Arabidopsis thaliana: one gene and its partner. The protein of the gene in region 1 interacts with the protein of each later gene in a pairwise test. Each region holds a gene or a part of one and is shown on either strand. Other genes may lie near its edges.

Region 1 (7,596 bases):
TTGTACAAAACAGATGGTAAAAACACAACCACATTGGTTAGCACACTAATGGTCAAATGAATTATACTAGTGGTAGAGGTAGACCATTATGGAAATGTATAATTTTTAAAATTCAGTGTTTCCAATGTGAGAGAGAATGTTCCAAGTCTCATATTTTATACATATTGCATTGTGCTTATAGTCAGAGCTTGTCCCTCACAAACATTCCATTACTGTTTTCTCTACCAATCTAAACAATAGCCAGAACTGCTCATTCATATTCATAATAATTACCAAAAGAGATTCAAACAAAACCACTCATCAGCATTGGATCTAAACTTCATCAATCGATAAATTCTTGGCTGCTCAATTCAATCCTCTTCTCAATCGGACTACTCATCATCTTGATACTCTTTCTCTTGTTGAACTTGTTAGATCCATGGCTTCTCTCTGCAGAACATTGCCTCAAAAACTTGCGGTTTTCTCTATCCAGCTCTCTGTTTTGCTCGCTCACAAGTTCAACTTCTTGCTCTGCTTTAGCAAGATTCATAATGAGACATTCTTTCTCCTTTTCAATTCTCTTCACCATTGACACTAAAGACACAAACTTTTGCGTCGTTGGCTTTAACTGATCCCATTTCCTCAACAAAGTTTCACAACATTTGTCTTCTTCACTATTAGCCTCCAAGAAGATACGCCCCAATGATATACTCTCATCTTTACTAACGAACGATGCCAATATTGAATCAACCAAACAATCTTCTTCAGATTCGATCCGGCTCTTGATTTCATCAGACATTTTTCTAACTTCTTCCTCCAATTCACGAACCCTAGATTCTGCTTCTCTAGCCCTTTCGTCAGTTTCGTTCCCGAACTCCATGAGTGATTCACGATCTTGATGATAAAGAAAGCATTCTTTTTCCCACTTCTTACACTGATTCACCAAATCCTCGCGCTCGCTTCCCAATTTCTGATTCTCTTCGACGAATTTCTTCAGCGACTGGGCATTCATACTCGCTTCGGATCTAACGAGATCGATTACTTTTTCTTTCTCTTTCAATCTCGAAACCAGAGATAGATACTGTTCACGGAGACGACGCTGAGATTCTTCCGCCGTGTAGAGCTTTTTCTGGAGAACGTCCATGGATATCGGAAGCCCTAAAGAGTGATCGATTGTCTCTTTGATAAAGTCATCGACTTCTCGCGAGAGATCCATTTAGAATCAACAAGAAATCGCAGACAGAGTTCGCTCGCTGAAGAACTCTAGGGTTTCTGAATTCCAAAGGAGGAGGATTCGAATTTCAAAATTGAAATCAGTGGCACTAATTATTGGTCAATGAAACCATTTATAGTTGGGCCGAGATTTTGGCCCATTAAAGAGCTAACACTATGTCCTTGTATGTCGGTGGTATCAACCTTGGATCTTTCAATTGGATCCAAACAAGTACAAAAATATGCAATTTACTTCAATTTAGCTCTCCAATATTTATTTAGTTACATCTTCAAATTATTATTTTTATTGTGCAGTATAGACTGAAGATATATATGAAGGAGAAAATATGTGTGTTTTGAAATTTATTAGATACAAAGAAACTCGAATTCAAAGGTATTGATAGTCTTTTACAATAGGTAAAATATATAGAAAGGATACAAGTAATTTAATTTCTGTAGCCCAAAATAAAGAGAGAAGAAGAGAGACTCTCGCTAAAACCTCTAATGAGAAGAGATGCTTCTTTAGAAAATAATCAGACATTGTCTTTGTGTCTCTCTTCTTTCTAACAACCTATCTCTTTATCTTCTTTGTTCTAAGCAAAATTCGTAAGAAGGCAGAAGAAGAAGAAGGAAATCAACATAAGAAGATTGGTGTACAGACCTTCTTACTCGCATTTGATCGACCGGTAAATGTGACGGACAAAGAGGAGGGCTGCGCGGAAGCCAACTGTTCCGAGCATTAAGAAGAATCCGTAGCAAATGCAAGCCATGTATCCGAAGAAAAACGAGGTTTGCATAAAACCCGACATGTCTGATCGTGCGTAGTAATAGTATAAGCAGTATGCGTAGATAAACAAACCGGTCGATCCACCACATAGGAATGATCTGCAATAGAAATTTGTAGAATCAGACTCAAGTTCTCATGGTCAGAGAGAAAAGAATAGAGACGATTAGCTGAGTTTAACGAACCTCCACCACCATTGGTGATCTTCAGCAGCGAGTTGGAAGTAAGTCAAGGCAACGGTTATAAAAGCAGTGACGATGATGAGAATGATGAAAACGATGAATAAGATGCTGTAGATGGTGTAGATCCGGTGACCCCAGACACTAGCGAAAATGTAGTAAAGCTCGATGTAGATGGCACTGAAAGGAAGAAAACCAGCCATGGCCATCTGAGGAATAGCACTTCTGTACCAAGGGAGTGGTGGAATCTCACGAGGATATTTGGTTGTACGGCATGGTGCTTGGAACTCTGCTTTGCTGTTTTTACCCGCGATACCACCCAAAACGAGTAAAGGTGAGGTAACTAGAGTCCATATAAGGACGATCACCACAATGGTTCCAAAGGGTAATGCAGCGGTTGCAGTGTAGGTGATGGCTACGGTGTTAAGGAAGCAAAAGGTTAGGAATAATGGGCCACAGAAGAGACATCCAGTGAGTAACAAGTTCCTCACCTGCAATAATGTCAAAAAAGGGAGAAGTTGTTTATTTCAGTTGAAGATGATTTTTTGAGAGACAGGGATGATTCTCATCATGTGTAAATATTTACCCAGCTTTTTCCTTCAAGTTGACAGTAGAAAGAGGCAGATGTGTATCCGGCAATTCCAGAAGTGAGAGCGTAAATGACCACCAAAGCGGTAAAGAGTGCTCCTCGGTTGTATGGGTAGAACACTCCAACAAGAGCAAGCATGAAAATAAATATGGTGCTGATGACATGGAATAAAAGGAAAAGCTACAGTTAGTTACAGTAAGAAGAAATGCGGATATGGATGAAAGTGTATCCAGATGGAAAGTATTCGAGTTATGAGAGACTTACAGCGTGAACAATTGAGTGCCACTACCGAGCGATGCAGCAAATAAAGAATTGTGAGTAGGGAACCGAAACACATCGCCATGAATGTACTTCCATCCAGTTTCCTCTTGATCATCAGCAGCTTCCTCATCTTGAGCATACCTTTTAAGCATTGGAATAAGGTTAGATGAGATAGACAAGTGTAAAACAGTCGACAGTGAGGAAACTTGAAACTTACTTCATGAAATCGTTCTTGAGGACTCGCATCAAGATAGTTGCAAGGAATCCAGTCAAAAGAAGGACAGTGACACAGGAGTTAATAATGGAGAACCAGTGGATTTCCAAATGATGTGGAAGAGAAGAAGACATAGAGTACTTCTCCATTCTTTTCTCAAAAGGAGTCTCAGTTTCCTTCCACTTCACAGTGTACATAAACTCTGCATCAACTTCCTTATCCTCAGTGAGATCCACAAGCGAATGAGGATCCATTCTAGCACTGATCTCGATCACACGGTCCTTATTGTATAGAATCTCAAACTGAATGTGCTTGTACAAGAAATATTTGAATTCACTCGGATCAGATTTGATATCCTTGTCAACCTTTCCAATGAATCCCCAGATAGGTAGATCATCATAGTACATCTGGAAGTAGTAGTCCTTCTCAACAGCTTTTCTGAACTGTTTGACCTCTTCTTTACTCAACTTCTTGTTGCAGTATACCTCAGACTCTTTTTCATCTCTGAAGTTGAGCTTGTATGGAGCGCTAACTAGCCGATCCCCGTTTAGAACCTCGCCAAGAGCTTCCTTCTTCTCTTTCACACCCTCTATAAACCATATTCAATAATGGGATGATCGAATCAGGAGATGTCACACAAATCAGTTGCGGCTTAAACACAAATCGTGTGATTAAGCTAGTAAAGATATAAGCATACCTGGGATACAGAAGGGAAGATCAAAATATCGATACGTCTCACTGCAATCATCATTGAACAAAACCAAAATCAGTCATATAATAGTATTCAAATCTAAGACAGATCCATCACATAAACGAAAAACATTCCAAATGTAGTTTCTTCTTTCACTCTTTGGTTTTAACATTACGCATTTTGCAGTGTACTCAGTTATCAATGTCGTTACTCAATTCAATAGCAACAGATTCAACAATAAACGATCAATTTATCATCCTCAGGCTTAAGAATGGGAAACAACCTCAGATCTGAAGCTCAGATCTAGAATAGATGTTTCCGTTTACCTTGGATTGTGAAATGGGCCGACCTTGTTGGCGTAGAGAGGAACGGTGTCTCCTTCCTTGTAACGGTGGTCGGAGGCGTCGGATCTGACATAGCCGGCGCCGGAGAAGAGGATAGCTCCGACAAGAAGGAGAATCGTCGTCGGTGTCCTCATTGCGTATTCTGCTCAAATCGTGAGATCTGAGTAACTTTTTTTATTTGGGAGAAGAGGGAGAAAAATGGAGGAAATAACGACAATATTTATATACCAAAGACTTCAATCAAACTCGAGTCAGCTACACAAATTTTAATATTTTTATTATTTTCTCACTTTATTTCATAAGAAAAATACATAAAAAAACTATAGTCAATAATACTTTATACCATTTCCAACCATAAAAATAAATATCAATGTCTATAAATTCATAAATATATGGCTTTTGAAACCAAGACTAATTATTTATAACAAATGTGAGTGGCATTTAACAAAATACAAATCATTTTCCCATATGTAGGCTAATTAAACCAAAAAAAGAATATGTAGGCAGTGAGCGAACTAATTGTTCTGCCAAACCTATGTATCTTATAGTGTTTTTTTTCCTTGGGTCGAAAATCTTATCGTATTAACACTTCATAAATTTTGAATAGTTAAATTATTACTTCTTTGTATTAGATGTGGAGTGGAGTGACTATTTTTTTAATATCTTTTGTGGTTATAGTATAGTGAATATGAAGAATGACGAATGATGTTACACGAGACCAAGTTTTTGAAAAAAAAAATATATGAATCTGATAATCATTTTTCCTTTACGTGCGTTATCGTACGTAATTGCTTTGCATGATCTCACGTCATGACAGCAATTATAGAAACTAAACAATTTAAAATTCTCATTTATACACAACGTGCATCGTTTTGAGGCATGGATAATTTAAGGTTTTCGATTTATAGATTGAATCAGCAAGAAATTACAATGTAGCCACTTATACCAAAAATAAAATCAAACAATTTGAACAAGATACATTGAAGTATGGATCAAAACAAACAAACAAAAGTGACACTAGTTAAGTTTAGAGACTAGAGTGAGTCGGTTTTGTTATTTCATAATTTGGTTCATGTAAATATATGTACCCTTCATTTGAACAGAGTAGTATAATCCAGTAACTACATTCATATCTAGCAAAGAAAACAGAAACCTAATCAAAAACGTATTAAGATTTCTCAAATTTTCGTTCAAATTAGTGATAGAAAACCAGACGTAACCGAAATAAAACAGGTCAAGCCAAACCAGACTAGATTCAATCTTGGTTCACTCTTAAACGAAGCAGATTCGGTTCGGTAAAAGCATCTTTGACCGTAATCACTGGCAAAACGAAAGATTGATCGTTTGCTTCTTTCTACCGGAGATGACGAGTATAATCGGCGCGGCGTTGCCGTACAAATCACCGGAGAAAGCAATTGCATCTTCTTCGTATTCAGCTGAGAACGATTCGAGTCCTGTTGATGCTGTTATTTTCGCGGGAACTTCGCTGGTTCTCGGCACCGCTTGTAGATATTTGTTTAACGGCACTAGAGTTCCGTACACCGTCGTTCTTCTCGTCATCGGCATTTTTCTCGGATCCCTAGGTCTTATTTGTTTGCTCATTAAGCTTTATAGCTCAGTTTCAATTTCGTGGAAGATTTTAGAAAGTAGTTAAATTTTGGATTTTTTTGCTTCTGTAGAATATGGAACTAAGCATAACCTTGGGAAGCTCGGCCATGGAATTCGTATCTGTAAGCTACTGTATTTTCTCTTCTCCATACTGTTAGATTACGAGCTCTAAAAAATGGCAACTTTACAGGGAATGGTATCAACCCTGACCTACTTTTGGCTGTTTTTCTCCCTGTTCTTCTTTTCGAGAGCTCATTCTCCATGGATGTGCACCAGATCAAGGTTTTTACTTTCCTGATTGAGCTACTTCCTTGGCTGTGTTGGTTCCTGGTATTGATTGTTTTACATCATTGGTAGAGATGTATGGGACAAATGGTTCTGCTTGCTGGACCTGGAGTTCTGATTTCCACCTTTTGTCTCGGAGCTCTTATAAAGGTACTTTAACTAGCTTCAACATTTTCGACTGTGATTAAGTGAGCTTCAATTAACTTAACAATTTTTTCGAGTTATGCTCTTGTAGCTTACTTTTCCATATAACTGGGACTGGAAAACATCATTGTTGCTTGGAGGACTTTTAGGAGCTACCGACCCCGTGGCTGTTGTTGCTTTGCTAAAGGAGCTTGGTGCTAGTAAGAAGATGACCACGTTAATTGATGGGGAATCTCTCATGAACGATGGGTAACCATGTCAAACTCTTATGTTTAGCATCAAGGTGATGTTATGTCATATATGATCAAGCTTAGTTGTTTGGATTATTCAGGGTATCGGTTGTGGTTTTTCAATTATTCTTCAAGATGGTGATGGGGCATAACTCTGATTGGGGTTCCATAATCAAATTTCTTGTCCAAAACTCATTCGGAGCGTATGGATTATTTTCCTTTGTTAGTAGTATTGTATGTCGCTGTCTTCTTTTCTCCGCTTATGTTGTTCTGGTTTTTTAGTGTAGGCATTGGTCTAGCTTTTGGAATTGCATCAGTTTTTTGGCTTAAATTCATATTCAATGACACGGTGGCTCAGATCACTGTAACACTTTCAGCGAGCTATTTCGCCTATTACACTGTATGCTCTTCTCTTCTACATAACTTAGTCCCCAATGGAGAATCTTAAATCTCTAGGAAACCTAAGAAATTTCTACTATGTACAGGCTCAAGAGTGGGCTGGGGTTTCTGGAATTTTGACTGTCATGATTTTGGGGATGTAAGTCGTGGTAAATTATCCCTTCTTTCTGTTGTTATGTGTCAAAAAGCCATTGTTCATAACATAATTGTAATAGGTTTTTCGCTGCATTTGCAAGGACAGCTTTTAAGGGGGACAGTCACCAGAGTCTGCATCACTTCTGGTATTTCACAACTCAGTGTTCTTTTTTCGTCAAATCAAAGGAAATCTTTACATGTATATATTATATTTTTATGATTGCCCTATAACTTTTGTAGGGAAATGGCCGCTTACATTGCAAATACACTAGTTTTTATGCTCAGGTACGAACTGTCTGGCAAGATTCGAAAACAAAAATTTACTGGTTATTTTACAAACAAAATACTGCAGACGATGTTTTAGCCGATACCTGATTGATACAAGATCATTGCATGTGTGTCTCTTGTGAATTGCAGTGGAGTTATTATCGCTGAAAGCGTTCTTAGCGGTCAGACAATATCTTACAAAGGTGTCTCTTCACAATTTATTATTCTACGTCCGGATTTTTTTTTTATTTTGTTCTTGGAAGATGTAAAGGGAG
Region 2 (7,129 bases), about 18 Mb from region 1:
ATCAGTGAACTATAAGTGAAAATATCAGGATCTATAGACCTTTTGATCATCTCGTCGTACAATTTCTCAGCCTCTACAAGCTTCCCCTCCTTCACAAATGCATCAATCAATGCGCTGAAAGTGACTACATTTGGATTGATTTTCCTCTCAATCATATCACTGAGTAGTCGAGAAGCATCACTCCATCTTCCGTAATTACAAAGGCATCTTATGAGGGAGTTGTAGGTAACAACATTTGGTCTAATTCCTTTGTTATCCATTTCAGTGAACAGATTGAGTGCATCATTCACGTTTTTGTAGTTGCAAAGAGCATCAATGATAGTGTTGTAGATCACAACACCAGGCTCTATTTTCCCTTGTTCCATCTTCTTTAACAAACTCAAAGCCAAATCAATATCACCTCTCTTACATAATCCATTTACTACAATACCATAAGTAACCAGATCTGGTTGACAACCTTTCACAACCATCCGGTCAACTAAAGCCACTGCTTCTGAAGCTCTGTTGTGGCGAAAAAGTCCATGAATTAGAGTGTTGAATGTGAATGAATCGGGCTGATATCCCATTTCCACCATCTGACCAACAAGAGATACGGCATCTGAAATCCTATTCCCGTGACAGAAACCATTGAGCAGAGAGTTAAGCGTGACAATATCGGGCTCATAGCCGAGTTTCATCATCTTGGCAAGAACAGCTAAAGCAAGAGAGAGCTGAGAGCGTCGGCAGAAACAGTTGATGAGAATACTGTATGTGTAAAGATTATGTGAAATTCCCAAATTTTGCATCTGCTCGCCGAGAGAGATGACAAGATCGAACTTGTTCATCTTAGCAATGGCACTCAACAGTTTACTGAACTCAACAATCGAAGGGAAAGGACGAGACTTGACCATGTCACCGAACAGATTAACCGCATCATCTAGCTTCAAATCATTTAGCCTATTTATCGATATTTTTCTGTAATCATATCTAACACCAGAGAAATCTCGTACCCAGAAACTGCAATGGCTAAAGGAAGGAGGAGCAGTTCCACATTTACCTTTTCCGAGAAGACTCCGATGAACAAATCTGTTTCCCGTCGATGAAATCGCAAACAATCTCCTCATCTTCAGCTGATTGGGGTTTCTTCCAAAATCACTGATTCAGAATCGTAAACTCTCTGTAAACTTGTATAAACCCTAAATGATGAACCTTTTGCAGACAGAGAGAGTAAAGGTTTGAACTTTTGGTTCTACCAAACCAAACAGAGAGAGAGACTCACATAGGCTGAGAGAGTGAGAGTGATATTCATCCAGTTTCGCACCACCGTTGGATCATTTGACCGGTCAAGATTTCATCTTATCATTTTTATCACCGGTTTGGTTTATAATCACATAATGTATTTTTTTTTGGTTTAGTTCTAAATTGAAAGGCCAGCATTAGCAAATAAATATGAAAAAAACAAAGAAGATTATCAAGTTTTGCTATTTTGGTTCCATATTTGTCTAACTATATTTCCTTCATTTTTTTTTTTATTGCTGAGATGTCCCTTTCTAATTAAGGTGAAACCGCGTGGACCTTACCAATTTATATCTTGGATTGTAAAGATCTATATCTGTTTGGTTCCACTTGTATATGATACAATGATACAATACAAGTTTGGTCATTATCATTTTTTCTAATCATATGTCAACAAAACCAAAGTATGCATTCATTTTGCAAAATATACACATCTATTTGTATCACCTCCCAAACATTTCTCCCATTATACGGACTTGGACAAGTATTCATACCTCTGCAAAAGTCTTATTGATAAATGAATGTGAAAGTACATACAATTGGTTTAGAACATTAAACACGAGTTTGGTTTGGACACATGGCTTTCATATACTCCTTAGTGATAAATTATGGTTAATTATAACCATCTTTGAAGTTTATTCTAATATTTTATTTATTAATTTCATTGATATGGTTTCAAACGTCAAGGAATATTAAACCTTTTACGAAAAAATTTCGGGTGGATCATATAATATCTTCCCTTCAATCCTCAAAGTTCTCGAACTCTACCAATACCTACAAGGCTACAAAAATTTATACACCATTGAAATATGCTGCAACGAAGTCCATTTAAGGCCTGATGATAAATTCCTTGGAGATCGACAATAATATCCAAGCGATTGTTAGTGAGATTATAGAGTTAGTCTTTGTTGGATTCAATAGTTTGTTCCACAATGTAAAAGTCGACTATTCTAAAGAAGCCCTTGGCAACTTATTAAATCTTATAAATAGTTAAATATCGAGACCGTAGAACCTTTTGCTATATATAGTTTTTCGTCAGAAAAAAAAAGTCTTCATGCTAGAGAAAAAAAAGTTTAACTTATAAATACCATGCTATAATTAAAACAAAATAACACGTACTACAAATAGTACTAGCTTATATTTTCTCTCTTTTTTAATAATTAATTTTCTAAAAAAATACATATCTTAAGAAAATATTATTAAAATTAATTATGAATATATTATTTTTTGTGTTTTATATTTTTTTATAATTAAAAATCAATAATATTTAATTATTTATCTTGAAATTTGATATTCATCAATAATATCTAATTAATATTGCAAAAAAATCTAGAAATCCATCTTTTAAAAACACTTTTTTGTATAAAAAAAAATAAAAAAATAAAACCCTTTTTGTAAAAAATTCAATTAAGAAAAAATAAAAGGAGTATATGTTTTATCTTCTCTTTTTACTTTAACAAAATACCTTGTTTTTTTGTTGTTTTCAAGTTATATATTTTGTAATCTTGTCGCAGGTCTGAGTTGTTTTTTGCACTCAGAAAAGAAACTTGTACTAAAACCTAGGAGAGGAGGAGCTGGCACCACCGCCTAACTCGCCATTGACACAACACCAAAAACTCTTCTTTACTTTTTGTTATTCTACACACATCGATAAAGATTAAGAACATAATTAATAGAATTCCATAAATAATTAGATGCACTAACTTTTCAACATCAATTCAACGGTTTAAATTCGTGAAAAAGCGTTTTTATTTTATTTTAATGGTTACAACTTTGTAGTTTTTACCCTAAATCTCTCTCTGATTACTGATACTCTGTCTCAATCTCTTCTTTCTTCTAATCCTTTATTTCTTGTAAGCTACTTCTCCTGAATTTCGTATTTGATCCGTTTAATCCAAGTTTCGATTTTATATAACAACCACATAGACAGAGAGAGAGAGAGAGAGAAACAGAGTAATGGCGAACAGAGATGTGGAGAGAGTAGGGAAGAAAAACAGAGGAGCTAATAACAATTATTTCTACGAGGAGTCTTCTGGTGAAACTCATTGGACTTCATGGCTGATTCCGGCGATTGTAGTGGCAAATCTCGCTGTCTTTATCGCTGTTATGTTCGTTAATGATTGTCCTAAGAAAATCACCGGACCTAACAAAGAGTGTGTTGCTAGATTCCTCGGAAGATTCTCGTTTCAACCACTTAAAGAGAATCCTCTCTTTGGTCCTTCTTCTTCAACGTAAGTATTACTTTAAAGTTGGAGATTCATGTTTCATCTTCTGGGTATCTCCAAAGTCTCAAACTTTTTGGGAGTCCAATTCGCAATTGAATTTGATCACTATTGTCTGTTCTTATGGAAATTGAGCTCAAAGTTTTCATTTTTCTGCAGTAATTAAGATTACCCAATTAGTGCCTTACTGATAACGTCAATGAATTTGTAGTTGAAGCTCGAGATTCTAGAATTTGTTAATCTAAGTTACTGGCAAACAAGTTTGATCTTTTGGGTACCTAAAACGTCTCAATTTTTTTTGTTTTCAACAAACTGAAAAAGTCTCAATTTTTGTGTTTTCAACTTGGCAATTGAATTTGATCTTTATTGTCTGTTAGTGGCTTGGAACATGAGCTCAAACTTGTAGGGTTTCTCAAAGTTTTTATTTTTCTCCTGGAATTATGTATTTAGCTTGGTTTGGAATTATGATTTGTAAATTTCATTGGCAATTATTGTAGTGATGGTGTTTGTGATTGATTTGGTTTTACTCGGATATGTACTTGTATCAGATTGGAGAAAATGGGAGCATTGGAATGGAGGAAAGTAGTACATGAACATCAAGGATGGAGACTTCTCTCTTGTATGTGGCTTCACGCTGGTATCATTCATCTTCTTACAAACATGTTGAGTTTGATCTTCATTGGTATCCGCCTTGAGCAGCAATTTGGCTTCAGTAAGTCTTACCTTTACGTGTACAAGAATTATTGTTCAGTCAAGTTTTAGACTCTCTTTGTTTAATCGCCAAGTGAAACATTTGATCTTTATCGCGGGAATGTTACTGTGCAGTAAGAGTCGGGTTGATATACTTAATATCGGGTCTCGGTGGAAGCATACTTTCGTCGCTTTTCCTTCAAGAAAGTATCTCTGTTGGTGCTTCGGGTGCTCTCTTTGGACTTCTTGGAGCAATGTTATCTGAACTTCTTACCAATTGGACTATCTATGCCAACAAGGTACTTATGCCCTTTTCGCTATACGCGCCTTAACCGGAACTTAGGATTAACGGCTTCTTTTGGCAGGCGGCTGCTCTGATCACACTTCTGTTCATCATCGCAATCAACTTAGCATTAGGCATGCTTCCTCGGGTTGACAACTTTGCACACATTGGAGGGTTTTTAACCGGATTCTGCCTCGGGTTTGTCCTCCTTGTCCGACCTCAGTACGGTTGGGAAGCTTCCCGCACCAACACTTCGCGAACCAAACGAAAGTATAGCATGTACCAGTACGTGCTGTTTGTAGTTTCAGTGGTGCTACTTGTGGTTGGGCTAACGGTTGCATTAGTGATGCTTTTCAAAGGAGAGAATGGGAACAAACATTGCAAATGGTGTCATTACCTTAGCTGTTTCCCAACTTCTAAATGGACCTGCTAATCATCATCATCATCATCATAATCATATAGTAAAAGCTTTTATATGTGTTCTTGTTAACATTTAATCTCTTTGATCTCTCTAGCCTTTGATTATTTATATATGTGTACATTACCAAATTCGTCTTGTGTAAAAGGGGATAGAAATAAAAGAGTGTATTATTTTTACATTTGAACACCATATTTCTCAAACTGTCTTTAAGTACATAAATAGTAAACAATTTTATTAATGTAAAACATAAGCTGTAATTGGAAATAAATTCCTTTAATTTGGTTATAGTACACACTTTATAGTATCCATCTTAGGTCTTGTAGATTATTATTCTTCCTTTGCTTCAAATTCTTCTTTCTCTAGATCTCTTTCTTCTTGAGTTTAACATGATAGCCATTTGGAAATTGCAATCCAGGAGTTCGAAGTATATTTCCTCCACTAGTTTCTTCCCATCTGATGAAATCCAAGAAACAAAATTACAAAATCAAGAACCATTAGTTGTCTTAACTTAACAGATGAAAAAGGAGTAGTTTCAAACTGTATTTTGTGACTGAGCTATGAAGGAAAACTGCAGTTTGAAGTTTGAACTTTGCTGAAGTCAGCTCCGATACACAACCGCATTCCATCACCAAACGCCATGAAATTCCATCACCACACGCCATCAATACAATATATAATACCAAGATATGCAATCATGCATACATCAGCTTCATGCAATATATGCATAATTTTTAGGAGATTTCAGATGTCACAAGATCGAATTGAACATATATTTTCAACAGTGTGAAATACAGTTATACGGTTAGGGTCTGATTTTTGTTTTTGGTACCACGTGGGTTTTACAAGTTTTTATGATATTACAAATAAATTAATAATGCATCACACTTCATTTATTGTGAATGGGTGACTTTTAAGAAAACAATGACCAAACACCACCCAATAACCTTCCTGCACTGTGTCATTTAGGCCTTAATGGTGCAGTGGATAAGGATAAAGTACGGGACATAGACAATGCCTTTAATCATCCACCATTCACAAATGATAATACCTTGTATACATGCGATGTAACTTCAAATATAGGGATGATTGTGTGCTTTGCGGATCAAAACAAGAACTTTAAAACCTCTCGGTAAAAAGTACAAATTAATGGTTACTCTAAACGGAAAGGCACAGGAGATTTGTTATTTATATGATGTTCTCAAACAAAGAAAAGCTACTCACACAAATCACATGTTGCCAACTTTAAGCTAAAGACCCAACTCTTTTCTTTACGTGTAACAGAAAAGTGGCGCAATGACCTTCAATGGCTTAGCTCTTGACTTCTCGATGGTTTGAGTTTGATCTCTTCAGCGCCCTGTCATGGTTTAGCATTGCGCTTACGCTCTCAACCACGAAAACGATCTGTAAAGAAAAGCAGAAACCCGTATGCGGGTTTTAGTCAAGATAACCCAAAACTACAACATTCTTTGATCAATAACTGATGATCTCATCATCCTCTGCTTGATATCATCAAATTTTGTACTATATGAGTATCAACTCCCAACTACTGAATAGAATAATGAATTTTGAAATGGATCCAGGCCTATATTTTACCTGAAAGCACGCGTAGCCGATAGCGTTTCCAAAGTAGAAATTTGCATTTCCGGTTCCCTGTCATGAAAAAATCAAAGGTAGTTGTGATCATTAGAACATTTTGTTGCAACTGCTGTGAAGAGTTGGGTTATGGATTTGAGTAGAAGCTTACCCGCCATATCCAGAGATTGTGCATCACAGGGCTGAGGAGAGAGATCCCGAGATATCCACAGAAGAGGAAGAACGAGAACTTCATATCTATGTGAAACAGAAGCAGAGTTTATATGCAAAGGCTAAACAATGCTAAGAGGATGTGAAGTATTTGCTTTTACCTAATAACTCATTGACAAACAATGCCCATAAGCTCAAGTATAACGCCGAATCTCCGACCTATTGAGAGTAAATCAAATGATGAAAGCATTGTTAACATTTATGAATATAATTCCTCAAAGAAGAAAAGATAACTTCAAGTTCACAGTGAATTCAACTACTTACTGAAGGATAAGATTTAAGAATCGAGGAGATCGCTAAGTATATGAAAGCCAGGAAACATGGCCGATGTTTCAACCTTATGGCTAAGGGCAGTAACATGAACAGAATATTTACGTGTAAAACTATCAGAAAAAAGTTTCTGAAGAAGTCGAATACTTCTGCAAAGAAGTACCT

The links.
Region 2: the proteins of AT1G14670 (region 1) and RBL2 interact in a protein complementation assay, tested with the Arabidopsis thaliana proteins (one large-scale study listed by BioGRID).

Annotation. Positions count from the first base shown.
Region 1 is NC_003070.9:5,034,460-5,042,055, reverse strand, and holds AT1G14670 (Endomembrane protein 70 protein family), read right to left. Parts: upstream 4,481-7,596; 5' UTR 4,388-4,480; coding exon 4,236-4,387; intron 3,957-4,235; coding exon 3,916-3,956; intron 3,808-3,915; coding exon 3,222-3,807; intron 3,146-3,221; coding exon 3,008-3,145; intron 2,898-3,007; coding exon 2,741-2,897; intron 2,646-2,740; coding exon 2,161-2,645; intron 2,077-2,160; coding exon 1,857-2,076; 3' UTR 1,459-1,856; downstream 1-1,458. Other genes in the region: AT1G14680 (early endosome antigen), read right to left, coding at 323-1,195; NHX8 (Na+/H+ exchanger 8), read left to right, coding at 5,617-5,836, 5,933-5,983, 6,052-6,143, 6,219-6,296, 6,382-6,539, 6,622-6,723, 6,803-6,920, 7,006-7,058 and 3 more.
Region 2 is NC_003070.9:23,406,828-23,413,956, reverse strand, and holds RBL2 (RHOMBOID-like 2), read left to right. Parts: upstream 1-2,817; 5' UTR 2,818-3,231; coding exon 3,232-3,506; intron 3,507-4,045; coding exon 4,046-4,209; intron 4,210-4,322; coding exon 4,323-4,486; intron 4,487-4,552; coding exon 4,553-4,903; 3' UTR 4,904-5,153; downstream 5,154-7,129. Other genes in the region: AT1G63130 (Tetratricopeptide repeat (TPR)-like superfamily protein), read right to left, coding at 1-1,103; AT1G63110 (GPI transamidase subunit PIG-U), read right to left, coding at 6,200-6,292, 6,485-6,541, 6,636-6,721, 6,796-6,853, 6,959-7,127. UniProt on the Arabidopsis thaliana protein: Rhomboid-type serine protease that catalyzes intramembrane proteolysis. Can cleave the Drosophila proteins Spitz and Keren. May function in pollen elongation.